3 linked regions of the Coturnix japonica genome follow. The protein of the gene in region 2 purifies or fractionates together with the protein of the main gene of each other region. This does not show direct contact. Links are inferred from orthologs where the notes say so. Each region holds a gene or a part of one and is shown on either strand. Other genes may lie near its edges.

Region 1 (5,240 bases), on a different chromosome or scaffold from region 2:
GGGGGAAGGGATCCTGATGTGGGCATTCCTCCAGCTGACCTGCTCCAGCTGTGCCCAGTGCATGGTGACATGGGGTCATGGGGATGCCCATAGGGCACAGGGCACTGCAACCTGCCCGGCCCTGCATCCCTGACCCTGCACACAGCCATGCACACATCCTAAATGAGAGCCACTGCCTCCACCTTCAGCAGATTTCTGACTCTTTGGGTCCAAAGGGCGACCGCTCTGGGTTTGGGTTCGGCATCGACTGAGAGAAGTCCTCAGTGCGTTCTGTGCCAAATAACTAAGGTTAATTTGATTTGATGCACCGCTTCATTACCATAAACAGCTCACAGTGTGTCAGTCCTCCGTAATTACAGCTCCCTACAGCCGGCATCGTGCTCATTTCCCATCACTGACAGTGCTTTGCTATGATCGCCTCCCAGCTCCGCGCTCCTGCACGAGCTGCCCCATCAGTAATTAGGTGTCATTTATTCTGCAGCTGACGGTTACACTAATTTACAAAAATAAGGGCAAGGATATTGAATTTACTTTCCATCACAGCTAGATTTATGTCTGACGGTTTGGGCCACAGCCTGGCTCTGCAGCTCCCAGTGCCAGCAAGGAGAAGGGCACAGTGTGCAATGGGAATAGCTGGGATGCAGGAAGAACAGCAAAAATGCATCAGGAACGTGCAGTACACCCCAGGAATACCCAGCACACATGGGAAAAAACCCATCAGAGGGGAGGAAAACAGTAATTAAGAGGAACCCACAGCACACAGCAGGAATCCCCAGCACACAAGAGCCCAAAGCAACGGGCACAACCTCAGTATATTGACATGAATGGGATGGGTGAATGAGTCAGAGCTTGAAGCTGTGCCCTGAGCTCTGCCCGCTCCTGCTGCAGGACAGTGACCCACAGCCATAGACAAGCCCAGTGCCAGGAGTAGCGGGGGGCAGGGGCACAGCCGAGGGGCTGCACAGTGGAGCTGCAGGAGGGCAGTGCCCACACACAGCAGCACAGAGCTCCTGGGGCTGAAGGTGTTGGTTCCCCTTCTTCTTTATTTTATTATTATTATTTTTAATTTAATTGAATTGTCCATGGAGCTGAACTGATGGTGTTTGCAGTGACTGCTGAATTAGCAGGGTACCAGACTGTGACCATATAAAACACATATTGTTAAAAGGCACTTAGGGCTCCCTTGGAAAGGGTTTGCTGAGCCTTTGAACAAGAACCCAAGGGAAAGCCCTTTATTACCTCTGTGACCGGGTCAATTACTCTAGAACTGAGCAAATTATTTATGAGGTAATCAGCCTATTAAAACATTAACACATCCATCCCTGTGCTGCTGAGCTGGCTCTGTCCTTATTGCTTCGGGTGTGGGGCTGGGCTTTAATTTGCTGAGAGACTTCTGAGCATCAGAACTCAGCTGTAGCTGTTGCCATCAGTGTCTCTGTCTGCCTTGTAAGTAGCAGTGCATGAACTGAGGATGTGAGCTGGGTGAGCTGAGCCTTTGGAGTGATAAAGCATCAAATGTAGGTAATGGACAGGTGGTGAGACCGTACAGGATGGGAATGGCTGTCTTAATCTACTACACAGACACTCTTCACTTTTTTAAATGCCTTTTGGCTAGTCATTTGCCTGCATTTGATATTTTATTATCACATCTTTGATGACATTTCCAGGTACTTACTAAATCAAGATGGAGCTGTGCTTTGTGCTGACTGTCAGATGGGGAACCCAAAGAGCAAAGGGAGCGGATGGGAACAGGTCTTGCCCTGTGCTGGGAGGGGAGGAGTAGGACTGGGCACACTGCTGGGGCTCAGCACCATGGGACAGGAGGGGCTTTGAAACCCATTCCTACCAATTGCAAAGCTATGCCCTAGGAAGTCATGGGCTCACAGGTTTTAATCTGGCGCAAAAGATGGCTGGGAGCGAATCCGTACAAGCAAAAAGGAAGGAAAAACCCACAGAGAAAACCCTGCACACCGCGCCCAAGCTGAACCTCAGGAACTGGGACAGGAGGCTCCTCAGCTCTCTGTGATGGACACGGAGCTGCAGTGAGGAGGAAAAGCAGCTCCCTTGGTGCACTTCAGCAGCGCGGAGAGTTCAGTGCCCAGCCAGCACATCCCTCCTCTAACACAGCCCCGCAGTGACCCACACAACACCGGCAGCGGGATGTGGATGATTGGCAGCCACATTCAGCAGCCGCAGAAATCCCCGTTTTGTTGTTGCTGTGAGATCTTTCGGGATGTCTCTGAAACATATGGCTTCCTTCAGCGGCACAAAGGGGCCAGCCATTACCCAGGAATGCCCCGCGTATTAAATACGGGATCACTGCCGTCACAATGCAGCACCAGCACGGCAATTCATACCCAGCGTCGGCTCAAAGGAGCTTTTGTAGATAATTAGTTCAAGGACAGGAAAAAAATTGCTACTAATGCTTAAAACGGAGCGGATGCTCCGCGCAGCGCTATCTCCTGGTACGCGCTCGGCTCATTGTCTCCCCATATCTCGAGCTGAGCCTGATTAATTTTACTTTTCTCTCCAATTTCTCTGCTGACAATGCGCGGGGAACAAAGGCTCCTGCCTGAACAGGGGCAGTAATTCATCGGCGCTCTCAGAGTCGATGCACAGCTGCCCCTTCCCAGCGTGGCTGCCAGGCACCGGCTCTGCGTGCCCTCTGTTCCCATGGTCTCCAGGGAGATGGTGATGGACCTGCATCCTAATGGACAGTGCCTGTGTCGGGCCCCTGCAGCCCCTTCCAGGCTGGGGCTGAGCCCATGGCCCTGTCTGCCTTTGGGGTTGTGTGGTTGTTTGCGTGCTATGAGCATGGCAGGGGGCAGGTGGGGCACCAGGGCATGGCGGAGCCTGGACTCAGCACCACGGCACAGCACACACTCCAAACACTCACCCCAAATGCTTACGGATGGGGAAGAAAAACAATTAATCCCAGCATCAAGGCAATGAGCTATGGTAGCTTCAGGTGTCCCACCAGCCTGGAGCACTGGGAGCATCACAACGGCTGCAGGGATGCAGCCACAGGAGCACAGCAGGGAGCTGGTGGGAGGAAGAGACACCAAGCAACAGCCCTTGGTGCATGGCTCTGCATGAGCAGCAGCACCCCATAACCTGCAGCACCCCACAACCTGCAGCACCCCATAACCTGCAGCACCCCACAATCTGCAGCACCCCACAACCTGCAGCACCTCACAGCCTGCAGCACCCCACAACCTGCAGCACCAACCAACCTGCAGCACCAAACAACCTGCAGCACCCCGCCACACTCCCACACCCAGCAGCCCCATGCCAAGGCTGCAGGCATCGAAGCTCCCGCACGCACCCTGCATGCTAATGAGTGATGGTGGGATTGCTGCGCCAATTACTTGCTGGCAGCAGCGGTGCACTCACCAAACGGGAGCTGCGGTGCCAAAGCAGAGGGCAGAGTCTCGCAGCGCGGCGGTGACACGGAGCTCTGTGTGCTGCAGGTACGGCTCGGAGACAAAGGGGCAGGTGAAGGAAGCAGACAGACCTGCTGGTGTTTTTGTATTTAAGTTTTTTTTTCTCCTTTCTTTTCTTTCTTTTGTGGAGCTCACGCAGCATTTGGGGCCACACGCCGCCACGTGGCAGGGTCAGGGTGAGCGTGATGAGCCAACCTGCCCCCAAAGTGCCACCGTGACCCCATCATGCACCGACCCTCTGAAACTTCATTGTAAAGATCTAATTTACAGCGAGCTAACGAAATAATTAATTTTTTTGAAGCGGGCTCCTAACCTTTAGAACCAACTCATTTCGGGGGGTGGGGGAGTGAAAGGGGAGCAAAATGCCAAGATTTCGATGAATATTTAATAAATGCTCATGAGCTCGGTGACTTGGAGCCGCGCCAGCTCCATTTGAATGCTGCCCTTTGTTAATAACTAAATTGACGCCTCTGTTGCTCTTCGGTGTTTGTGGCTCTATCAAGCTGTAATCTGTCACAGCGCATATGGGGGAAGAGCAGCTCTGTGAGTGCCCGGCCCCACAGCACCCGCAGAGCAGCGATGGTGCTGCATCGTGCTCCCATCCCTCCAGCTCCACCCAACATACACACACACACGTTTGTGTAGGAACAGACAGAAAACGGAGCAGAACATCCAAAAGAGAACGCTGAGCTCTATGGGGATGCATGGGGACGGCCCCATTCCTGCAGCAGAGTTGGAGCACCGTGATGCTGCAGGGTCTGTGGTAGCTGCCCCCGCTTCTCAATTAGTTTAACTAATTGGGCAACAGCTCCAATGTAATTCGCTCGGTTCTCCCAAACCATTAATTATTCTGCATTCAGGACAAATAGGCTTTGCAGTGGCAGTGTGGGCTCATTGGCATTCCCGGCACACGGCAGCGCTGGGAGCGGTGTCTGAGCGGCACGGGCTGTAATGAAACGCGGCGAGGAAACACTCCATTGGCCACATGCAGGAGCAAAGGGGGGGAAAAAAGGAAAAACAAACCCCATTTCCATTTGGCATGAAATGAGCTACACACAGAACAGGGAAATGAGGGGCTCTGGGGACAAAAGGGAAGGTTTGGGGGAGGCCCTGGAAGCCCCACATCCCGCTGCCACCCATCCCATGGCAACACAGGATGCTGTCACTCTCCATCCCATGGTGGATCCCTCCCGGAGGTCCCATGTCATCCCTGACAGGCTCATGGCACAGCCCCCACTGCGACCTCATCCCCACTCATCCCCACGTGCACAACAGCAGCAGAGCCAGCTCCATCACCACAGCGTGTTCAAGAAAACAGAATGCACCAATTAAATACAGCTGATGAGGGGCACCACCAGCCTTGTGCCCACGGTGCCAGCATGGCCACTGCATGCATGCTACATGCATTCCACAGGTCATCCCCAGACCATTGTGCCATCCCTTGTGCTGGCAGCCACCGAGACCACACGTGGGCTCCCCATGAGGCTGCGAGGCCCCAGCAGCCATCCCAGGGAGCGGCATTTCCAGCCCACGTTGTCGCTACCAGCAGTGCCCCAATGGACCAGCACCGTCCCACACCTACCTGCAGTGCCAGCGGGGGAGGACAGGGCCGAGCGCCCGCTGCTCCACGGGGACGGGGGGGGCCTCGTGCTTGGCCAGCGCTGCCCCACGCGCTGCAACCCAGGTGGGCACCAGGCACTGCCTCATTCGCAGAGGTGAAAGGGAGCGGCCGGCTGCAGCCCTGGCATGTCGAGGAGCTTCTCTTCCCTCTCAGAGGAGACGAAGGAGCGCCCCGGC
Region 2 (5,186 bases):
CTTAAAAGTCTGGTCCTTCCCCTCTCCTGGAAGCGTCACCTCCATATCCACCTTACAGATAAAGCGAAGCAGAAGCTTTTTTTAAGGACTGCAGCAGATTTCTGCACGAAGTTCAGACCGCTCACAGTAACACTCACTCTGTCCCTGCCGATGGGTAACGGGTGTGCAGTGTACATGTTCCGCTTCCCGTCGTATCCAGGCTGCCGGTCACCAAATATCTGCATCTTGAAGTGTCTCACCATAGTATCCACCACTTCTCTATAAAGTTAGGTTAAAAAACAGGAAAATCCAGCAGTGATCTTATGTGGTTTCAAATTCCTTTTCTAGATTTTCTTAACTGATCAAGGTAGGAGGAGCTACAGCGCACTCAAACACACACAGGTCATCAGCAGAAACCAGCAGTAAGTCACCTCCAGGTTAAGACACTGAAGTTTCAATACAAAGTGCAAGGCATGTGTCCAAACTCATTGCTGCCAGAAGAGATGCTCTCAGTACAAGCAGAGCAATCTGAAGAACTGTTCATACCCAGGAGCAAATACAAGCATCTGCCCTGGGGTGAGCTGGGGTGCTCTTCAGATGGGCTCTACTGATATGCACAAACACCTAAAACACTTGTATCAATTTACAAGCAGAACTCCCTCACCCCGGTTACTAACAGACATCTTTGTATAACAGCTAACAGTGTTATCGCTATTAAACAGCTCCTACCTGTTCACTCTTCGGGGTCGTTTTTCTGGTTTGATATCCACATCATAGTGATAAACGTCGATCTTAGGGATCTGAACCTGAAAATGGTTGGCTAGGAGGCGGATGGGCTTCCCAACAGTGCCCAGGCCTGGGCGACGGGGGGGCTGGAAAAGACTTGCTGGGGGCCCTGTGAAGTCAAACAAATACAGAAGAGAATTATAACTCAGTGCAGCATCTTTTCAGGTGTGTTTAGCTGGAAAGTCTTTTTGACATGGCAGAAAGAAACCTTAAAGTCCTCAAAGTTTTAAGATCTGAGATACCACGTTAACAAGATTAAACGCTTTCTGTTGTTGTTCAATCTATCACAGCCCCAGTCTACACTGCATACAAAGCAATATCTTTTCATGGCTTTTGTCTGTATCTGGCAGCATGCAGGGTGATCTGTGATTCTTCCCTCTGTTCTCGAGCAGCAAAGCAGAGGGGCAAAGAGTAGCAATAAACTAACAGTTAAACTAAGGGCAAGTTCAGTATCATAAGTGTCAACCTGCCAGTATCCATTTAAATCAAGGGCTCACAGTTATATTAGAAGCGAAGAGAAGCAGATAAGCTGTAGGAGGATGAAGCTCATATTTGGGAACACTTCAGTGTGCAGCAATAAGCTTAACACAATCCTAAACTACAGCTAAGACCAAACGAAAGGAGCCTCCTGCACTTGGGTTTGTAAGCAGCTGACGGCCATCGCACCCAAATACCAACCCCACAATGACTGCAAGCAGAACGCTCAGAGCAGCTGGAGCCCAATTGACACATCACTGCCAAAGCTTTGGCTGTATGGGGTGCAGACATCCCACACGATGCATTGCTGGTTCTGCACCCACATGAGTAATTGCCACCAGGGCAGGAGCACAGTTAAACTGGTTGTAGGGTCCAGTTAGTACTTCTACAAGCTACAGCCATCTCGCCAAGTGTGAATCATCAAGGGCAATCAAAGTTTGCTGTGCTTATTTGGATACGAGAGAGATGATCCATTAATCCTGCGCTAATTAGCCTGAAGTAAGTGCAAGCACTGACCTCCCACAAGAGATTAAATGACAACTATATTTACCCATTTTCCTGCCTCATATTGATACGTTTCGTGGGCAGGAATGGCTGTGCTGACCGAGGTCAGCGTCCATGGAAGGAGATGCAACTTAAACCTTCTCCTTTCTAAAGGCACTTCTCCAAGGATTCTGGAGACCACCCTGCCCCATCAGCCTGACAAGGTTCACATGCACTATTTAACTCCATTTCTTCCACCGTGGGACATTTATGGGTACTGAAACCTCAAGATGTTACTTCAGACAGGAAGTGTTGTACGGAGCAAGAAGAGGATCCAGCAGAGCAGGCAGCCAGCACGGACAGACTGCATGGTGCAGCTGCAGAGCAGACTGTCAGAACAAACCTCTGCTGGTTTCTCGGTCTCTGAAGGTCCCTTCCAACCCCTACAATTATATCACAGAATCACAGACTGGCATGGGTTGAAAAGGACCACAATGATCATCCAGTTCCAACCCCCTTCTATATGTAGGGTCACCAACCAGCAGCCCAGGCTGCCCAGAGCCACATCCAGCCTGGCCTTGAATGCCTGCAGGGATGGGGCATCCACAGCCTCCTTGGGCAACCTGTTCCAGTGNAGCAGCCCAGGCTGCCCAGAGCCACATCCAGCCTGGCCTTGAATGCCTGCAGGGATGGGGCATCCACAGCCTCCTTGGGCAACCTGTTCCAGTGCATCACCAACCTCTGGGTGAAAAACATCCTCCTTATATCCAACCTAAACCTCCCTGTCTCACTTTAAAACCATCCCCCTTGTCCTATCACTGTCCACCCTCACAAACAGCCGTTCCCCCTCCTGTTATACGCTCCCTTCAAGTACTTGAAGGCCACAATGAGGTCTCCCCAGAGCCTTCTCTTTTCCAAGCTAAACAAGCCCAGTTCTCTTAGTATCAATAAATACCTAATATTTCAACCGAATTAACAATTATACCAAGACAAGTCACACTTCGGTAGAGAAACCCAACCGGCAGAAGAATTAGCTCGGCTATTAAAACACAAGCAAGAAAACACCACATGCAAAATAACACCAGCATTCAACCACAGGCTGCTGACCAATATAACGCCCTCATCAGCCTCTCTGTGCTCACAGCCTCTCTGTGCTCACAGCCGCTGCCGCCCATCCCAAGCACAGCCCGAGTGCCCCATTGACAGCTCAGCCATCACCCGCCCCACAAACTTCCCCCGTAGTTCCCAGCCGGTTCCAGGCCGTGTCGTTCGGTTCTCATCGCTCCAGGCTCTCCCCGCGGCCCAGCGGCCTGTAGCGGCTCCCGAGCCCGCGGCCTCCGCTTCCTCCACCTCCTCCCCTCTCCCGTACAGCCCCCACCGGGGCCTCGCCCCTCCCGCTGTATCTCACCGGGTCCCAACGCTTCCATAGCGGCGGCGGCGGCGGCGGCCTCGCTGCGGTCCCCCCCGGCCCCACCGGCCGCCCCGGGCCCCGCCGCCGCCGCCGCCGCGTAACGCTTGATCTCGGGAATATTGACTTCGGGATGTGGGCCAGGCGAGGAAACGGGGGGGAGCAGCGGCGGTGGGGGGGGTGGCGGCGGCGGCGGGGGGGGAGCTGCCGGAGCTCCGCTAACCCCGAGCGGCGTTGCAAACAATCCCCCCGCTGCGCGCCGCCGAGCGCGCCCCCGCCGCCGCCGCCAGCACGCGCCGCCTCCCGCCGTGCGCGCCCCCTCCACGCTGCCCTGAGCCGCGGGAGCGCGCACGCACAACGCCCCCCTGCTGGCGGGCGGGAGCGCGCACGTCGTTACGCACACAGGTGAGCGCGCCCCGCCCCCTCCCAGCAATGAGGCGCTTCGGTCCGTTGGTTCTCGGCTCTTTTTAACCCCATTTTACACAATATAAAACACATTTTACACAATATAAAACATCGCCTCCATCCGGAGCCATTATTAGAGCCAAATTCAGGCCCTGTGGTAACTAAAGAGGCGCTGTGCGGCCTGGCAGCCCGCTGTTGTCACTCTGTCCGTTCTATGATGTGTTAGAGACATAAAAACAGCCACAATTACCCGGATCTGCACAGAAATAACAGCGGACACCTCACAAATGTCACCGGGAACCTCAGAAATTGCTGTTTTTTCTCCCTTTATCACGCTGCGAGATGCAGCCTGACTTTTAATTGCGACAAAACAACTAATAAACGTTATCAAACCGTTTTTATATTGTACAAAGTGCGGACCTGTCGTGTATATATATATATATATATATAAGGTGAATCGGATCTTACATTGTGTAGGTTCGGGTTGTGGTGTCACCGCGGCCCGACCCCGCACTGAGGAGACCCCGGTACCACACGGAGCTCCACCCCCACACGGAGAGCGCTGATTGGACGGTGCTGGAGAGGGCGGGGCGAAGAGATACAAACACCCAATCAGACACAAGGAAGGCGGGGCTTAAAGGGATGTGCTGAGCGATGATTGGTTGGTGCTAAAAAAGGGCGGGGCTAAAGCAGCGCGCGAAGACTCGAAGAGGTTCATTAGGCGGCACAGGCCGGGCCGGGTCATGGCGGCTCCCGTTGAGGTGAGTGTGACCGCACCGTGTGTTCATCTGCCTCCTACCGGGGATATTACAGCTCCTGTGACCGCAGGGCTGAGGGCGGACATGGCCATTGAGCGACATGGCGGAGCTTCCACAGCTCAACCGGGCGGCCCCGCAGCTCCGTCCTCCCGCCTTTGCTTCAGGACTGCATTTCCCAGAATGCTCAGGGAGGCGGCGCTCACTTCCGGCTCGCGGTGCATTGTGGGAGCTCGTGGCGGCCTTCCGGTGTGATGGCGCTTCACTTCCGGTTGTAGGCCGCGTTTGGTCGTAATGAACTCAAAGCGCTGATTGAGTTGTGTGTGTGTGCGGTCACGTGGGGCACAGGCACGTTTAGACACTAATAAACATTGATAGAGTGTGGAAATACGAGGACAGGCTGAGGGAGATGGGTTTGTTCAGCCTGGAGAAGAGAAGGTTGCGGGGAGACCTCATTGCAGCCTTTCAATACCTGAAGGGAACCTACTCTTCCCTTAAACTCTTCGGAAGGGCTGACAATAGCAGGACACGGGGAAATGGTTTGAAGTTAAAGGAGGGAAGATTTAGGTTGGATGTTAGGGGGAAGTTCTTCACTAGGAGAGTGGTTAGGCCCTGGAACAGGCTGCCCAGGGAGGTTGTGGATGCCCCGTCCTTGGAGGTGTTCAAGGCCAGGTTGGACGGGGCCATGGGCAACATGATCTATGGGGTCTCTATGGGGATCTATGGAGTCTCCTGGGCAACCTGATCTAGTAAATGTGTATGTTTGGTGGCCCTGCCAGGCAGGGGGGTTGGAACTACATGATCCTTGAGGTCCCTTCCAACCCAGGTCATTCTGTGATTCTGTGATTCTGTGAAATAAAGGCCAATGATGTCTATGTGATCCTATGAAGGAG
Region 3 (5,344 bases), on a different chromosome or scaffold from region 2:
TAGGAGGAAAAAAAGCCAAACAACATCCATTCTTTGAAGCAAAGCACGCTTACTTCCTTGGGGGAAAAAAAAAAAAAAAAAGTTTTCATTATTTTTGCACATAGCAAAGCAAATATGGAGAATAAAACAGAGAAATCTAGGAAGTGTAAGAGTTTTACTGTCTGCTAAGAGTGACAGGGAAGAAGCAGCATTATACCCTACTGGCTATTACCCTCATCAACTCCCAGGCAGAAATGCCAACTGGCAGCTCCTTGTCTGACAGTGACAGCTGGCTCCGGTACCACAGTGCGTCCCTGCTTCTATTAGCAGACGGGGGTAAAAAGTTTAGTTTGGATTAACAAGAAATTGAGAGCAGTTCTTCAGGCTCTACATCGCATGCCGAGTGCTGGAAGAACAGCACAATTTAGTTTGTACTTTTATCAGAAGGAGGAAAAAGCAATTACTAAGGTATGGAACGTTATCAGCAAATTCTTTTATACCACATCTGGTTAAACAATTAGAAATATATAGTATTAATTGCTCTACATATGTGTCACTAAGTTCTCACTATTAGAACAGAAGACAATTCACTTTCCCTAAGACAATGTAACATTTTACAAGTATTTTTTTCAAAAACAAAACCATCAGAAAACCATTCAAGGCACTTCCAACAGCAGCTCAGGCAAACACACTGCAAGGACTGAGGGGGCAAAACTTGTGCTGAACAAGACCCAGCAGTATCTAATTGTGACTTTCAGATACTTCCTCCTCTAGCCATGCATTAAATACTTATTTTACCACATGAAAACAACAAAAAAAGCCACTTCTAAACAGTGACAGTCTTAGTGAGGAAAGTCTTTGCTGTTCTGCAGCAAAGAAGCCGCAAAGCAACTGCTGATTGTCATTATTGCACAAGCCGGACTATCCATATATAAACACAAACACACACACACAAATAAAGATAATGGCAATAAGCAGCCAGGACAGAAAATTCTGCATCCAAGTATCCTGCAGAAAACAGAATAAAGTAACCAAACCATTTGGTAGACTATTAAAAAACCCATTCAAATCAATAACTAAGCTCCTAGGATGTTTTTTCTATGGTCTCCAGTTCTTAATAATTGTAAAGGCAGCCTTCCATGAGCAGAAACACACCAGTTATACCGTGAAATAAAATCAAGACCTAAGAACAAAATCCATTTGAACTTCCTTTCAAATGATGCCTTCTATAGCACTCCTCACCTCACTCCACCATCCGGGATGCAGCTCCACAACCCACTGTTCCAATGCAGCAATCAGGCACTACTTCTGCAAAGCAATTTATTTCTGTTTCACTACTACCTGCCATTGGAGGAAAACCTCAGGCTAAACTTACTGTTTCAGAGCTAAGTTTGCTCTCTCTGAAACTCCCTCCTCTTCAAGTCATCCTCCAAGCCTGGAAAGCTATAGGACATCAAGTTCTAATGATCAAATGCTCATCACCAGGCAAAGCCATGACACGCTCACTAACTGCAGGGTTTGACTGCAATACTCAGTCACACAGTTGCTGGCAGGTGATACTTTCTCTGATTCAGTTTCGAGATTCTCCTTCCCCAACAACATCTATATGTTGTGTTGATGAATATGATTTAGCCGGGAAGTATTGGTAATGGTTGGACTAGATGATCTTCTAGGTCTTTTCCAACCTTGATGATAATTCTGTGAACATCCGACTGGACCAAACCTTATTTTTGTCACATTTTCAGCTCAGATTTCCAGCTGAATGTGCAGCTATGCAAACACTGCAGTAACATTCATTCATACACTGGTTTATAAAGCAGGGTCACTGTTTTACCCAGTACTTCCACATTATTGGAATTAAGAGAATCTTTTTCCTAAGCAGCCCGATAACATCATAAGGAAACAAATGAAGACTAAGTTGACGAGTTATACACACTAGAACTTTACCAATTAGCACTGCCAATTCTGAGTTAATTGCATATATATATGTGCATAGTTTTACATGAAATTGTATATTCACAAAATGTTTACATGAAACATAGCTAGCCAAGATGAAAGTAAATGATATAATGAACATCACACCTAGTTCTATGACATAATATCTACCTGCACCGCATTGCCACCACAACTTCAGAGCAAGAAAACTAATGCGTGCCTGCTGCCACACAGGGTTCCACTCTCCCCTCATCTTTTTGCCAGGCCATCAAAGCACTGCCAGGCTTTACCTGCCTGAGTAGCAAAGTTAACAACAAACGGGTGAGGAGCCACCTTCACCAAGCACTCCTAAGGTCCATCTGCATGGCAGCCCCAGCACTGACAGTGGATCACGCAGCAAAGCCCTGACCTTATCTTTGAGTTCAGGACCTCGGGTGCCACCGCAGATCAGAACGTTTGGCTGAGCTCCACAGCAGTACGTGTGTTCTGAGGCACCTGCACTGTCACAGCAACCATAGGAGAGGTGGGATTGCTAAGCAACTTCGGTACAGATGAGCTTAATAGAAAGCTGCTTGAACTCGTACAATAAGAAGTTGAAGAAGCAAAGCTGCTCTGCATACAATCATACCAAAAACTAAAGTTCAGTTCATCTGAATAGCAACAGTACTGGAAAGCAGCACGCAAAACTTTCATACAGGGCTACACAAAGTACACGGGTTTACCTGCTGCTACTCAGAAAAACGCATAGGTTTTGGAGATGAAAGTGGGACTGTAATCAGACAAGCTGTGGTTAAATATGATTACGGAGGGTTAAAAAAATAAAAAAGGAGAGGGCAGAAAAAGTTAACTCTAAAGGCGCAATGCAGACTATAGGGAGAGATAGCAAAGTCACTGTTCGGGGTAGCAAAATACGGCCAAACAACCATAGGGAGGCTAAAGCGGAGTGTACAGCATTAAGCCCCTCTGCTTCGGCCAGGGCAGCGCTGCGCTGACCCCGGGCTCGCTCAGAACGCCTCAGTTCTGCCCTGCAGCAGCCGCCGAGAGCCGGCGGGACACCGCGCTGCCCAGCACCGCCTCTCCACACCCAACCAGCGGCTCCTATCGCTACGAACACCCCGGGAAAGTTTGCTATCCCCTTCCCCGCGCCGCCGGGACACACCTCTCGGCACCGTCCCTCCTCCCACCCACGTCCCCACATCAACGTTCCACACAACCACGGCGAGCGGCCGGGATACCGCCGGGATACCGCCGCCACCTCAGCGCCGTCCCCACACCACAGCGGCTCTCTCCCGTTCCGGCCCTCTTCCCGGGGCCGCGGGCCGGGAGCCGCACGCCGCGAGGCCGGGCAGCAGCCCGACGGCCCCCAAGGGCCCTATCGGTGGAACCGGAGGGACGGAGCTCCTCGAGCCGCCGCCGCGCTGGGTGAGCCCCCCTCAGCCCGCCCGTGGCTCACTCTCACTGCAGGGCGGAGGGGCGAGCGCGCCGCTACCGCCAATGGCCCCTCACAGGCGGCGCGCGCGGCCCGCGGGCGGGAAGGGCCCTGAGGGGAAGGGGGGGGAGGACACACTCACCGCTGAGGCGCCGCCGCGCTGAGCCCCCTTCTCAGTGCCGGGGGCGGCTCCGCCCGGGGAACAACGAACGCCAAAAGGCTGCGGAGCGGAGCGCGGCCTCCTGCTGCGCCGACACAAATAGTAAGAAAAAAAAAAAAAAAAAAAAAAAAGAGAGAAAATAGTTTAAAAAAAAAAAAAACTTTCCTCGCCGCCGTCTCCCTCCCCCGAGGAGCACGAACCCAAACACACTGAGACACGCCCCCGCGCCGCCCCTCGCGCCGCCCATTGGACTGCGCCCCGACGACCCCCGCGCTGATTGGCTGTCTCGCCTGCTCGTCTTATCTTTCTCCGCCCCTGAATGCTGTCCATTGGGGAGAGCCGCACGCATCTCCCCGCCCATAAGCCAAGGCCCACGTCCATCAAAGAGAAAGACCCGCCTTCCAGCTCCTCTGATTGGACAGACTCGACGGTACCCCTTCAATGATTGGCTGCCCCGGCTGACTGTCACGTATTGACGTTACCTCCCTCGCTGGCTACCGACCGACCCCCTCCCACTCCTCCCCCTGGCTGGGAGGTTGGCCCCGTAGATGAGACGCCCGCCCCTACTTGCCCCGCCCCCTCTCGCTACGGATTGGCCGGTAGGCTGCGCCCTCGCACGCCATTGGCGAAGGCGTGTGCTCGTCACATTGTAACGCGGCCCATCGAGCAGCGGCGCTGGAAACGAAGTGGATGTGGGGGCTGCAGCAGCGTGCCTCCTTCCTCTGCCCAATGGAGGAGACGGGCACACCCGGTAATGAGGAGGACAGCGGCCACCGCCTCTTCGTGATGCCAGGGGGCAACAACGCCACACTCCTGCCGTCTGCAACATTTACTTCTTGCTCCGCCCTTCCCACACAGCGATTGGACGGGGAGGATGTCAGTCACACTACTGGCCAGCCCATTGGTCGGGGGCGACTCCTCCGCAGCCAACTGGCAGCCGCCTTCGGTGCCAGATTACGCGCAGGCGTGGGCGGGAGGGGGCGTTGTCTTCCCTATGATTGGTTGAGTTAACTGTCAATCTCCGCACCGTCTCCTGGAGGCGGGGGGAAGGCGGTGTCGGGCCGCGTGAGGCGGTGGGGGCGTCACGTGGCTCTCCCAGTTGCGCACGTGACGGGGCTGGCGGCGGCGGTTGGTGGGGGGGCGGTGTGAGGCGCTTCCTCAGAGCGCGGGTTGGCGGCAGCGCTGCTCCGCACGGTGCGGGGGGGGGGAAACGGGGCCTGGAGGGTGAGGAAGGGGCGCTCTGAGGGGACCTGTGGGGTCATCCACACTCAGACGTGGGGTTTGGTGTTGTCTCCATGGGCCCCTTCCAACTCGGGCTCTTCTGTGGTCGGAGATGCATTTGGGAGGGAGGGAAAATGGAGGTGTGTACCCCCATTTCCACGCTCTTTTGGTTCTCTGGTATTGCTGAGGGCTGCTGTTAGCACTATGTCTGTCCCCTCCCAGCCTCATCCAGGCCTGTGTGCCAGCGCCATGTTTCCACTTGGTCTCCTCAGGAGCATCCCGTTATAACGCCACAGCAGCTGAACATGGACTTTAGGTGCCAAAAAGCGAAAGAACAGAGATGCAATACCGACCTGGCTGTGCAGATACTGAGGGAAAGCAACCTCTAAGGGGGCAGGGTTTTGTTGGAAGTTCAGAAGGTCTCGTTCAGGTTCACACATGGAGAATCTCAGCTCCTGGGCTAGTTTCCAGCTCCAAAAGCCCTAATGTGTAAGAACAAAGTAGTTCTTGCTATGTTTTCACACCTCTCCTATTTGCATTTCTGTCCAGAAGTGGGACGGAGTTAGCAAGTGAGACTGTATTTTTTCATCCACTGGATGTCAGTGTTATGCTACTGCTGT

The links. Proteins that work in one complex are often made in the same cells at the same time.
Region 1: the proteins of protein argonaute-4 (region 2) and TNRC6A purify together in Homo sapiens (co-immunoprecipitation; 4 studies listed by BioGRID and IntAct, with this or other methods). This does not show direct contact. The link is inferred for Coturnix japonica from reciprocal best matches to the Homo sapiens genes AGO4 and TNRC6A.
Region 3: the proteins of protein argonaute-4 (region 2) and TNRC6B purify together in Homo sapiens (co-immunoprecipitation; 3 studies listed by BioGRID and IntAct, with this or other methods). This does not show direct contact. The link is inferred for Coturnix japonica from reciprocal best matches to the Homo sapiens genes AGO4 and TNRC6B.

Annotation. Positions count from the first base shown.
Region 1 is NC_029529.1:6,727,964-6,733,203, reverse strand, and holds the start of TNRC6A (trinucleotide repeat-containing gene 6A protein), read right to left. Parts: upstream 3,601-5,240; 5' UTR 3,586-3,600; coding exon 3,394-3,585; intron 1-3,393.
Region 2 is NC_029538.1:3,746,308-3,751,493, forward strand, and holds the start of protein argonaute-4, read right to left. Parts: upstream 3,234-5,186; 5' UTR 3,153-3,233; coding exon 3,134-3,152; intron 875-3,133; coding exon 709-874; intron 259-708; coding exon 138-258; intron 52-137; coding exon 1-51. Other genes in the region: CLSPN (claspin), read left to right, coding at 4,282-4,299.
Region 3 is NC_029516.1:45,822,416-45,827,759, forward strand, and holds the start of TNRC6B (trinucleotide repeat-containing gene 6B protein), read right to left. Parts: upstream 3,601-5,344; 5' UTR 3,486-3,600; intron 3,410-3,485; exon of another isoform or gene 3,368-3,409; intron 1-3,367.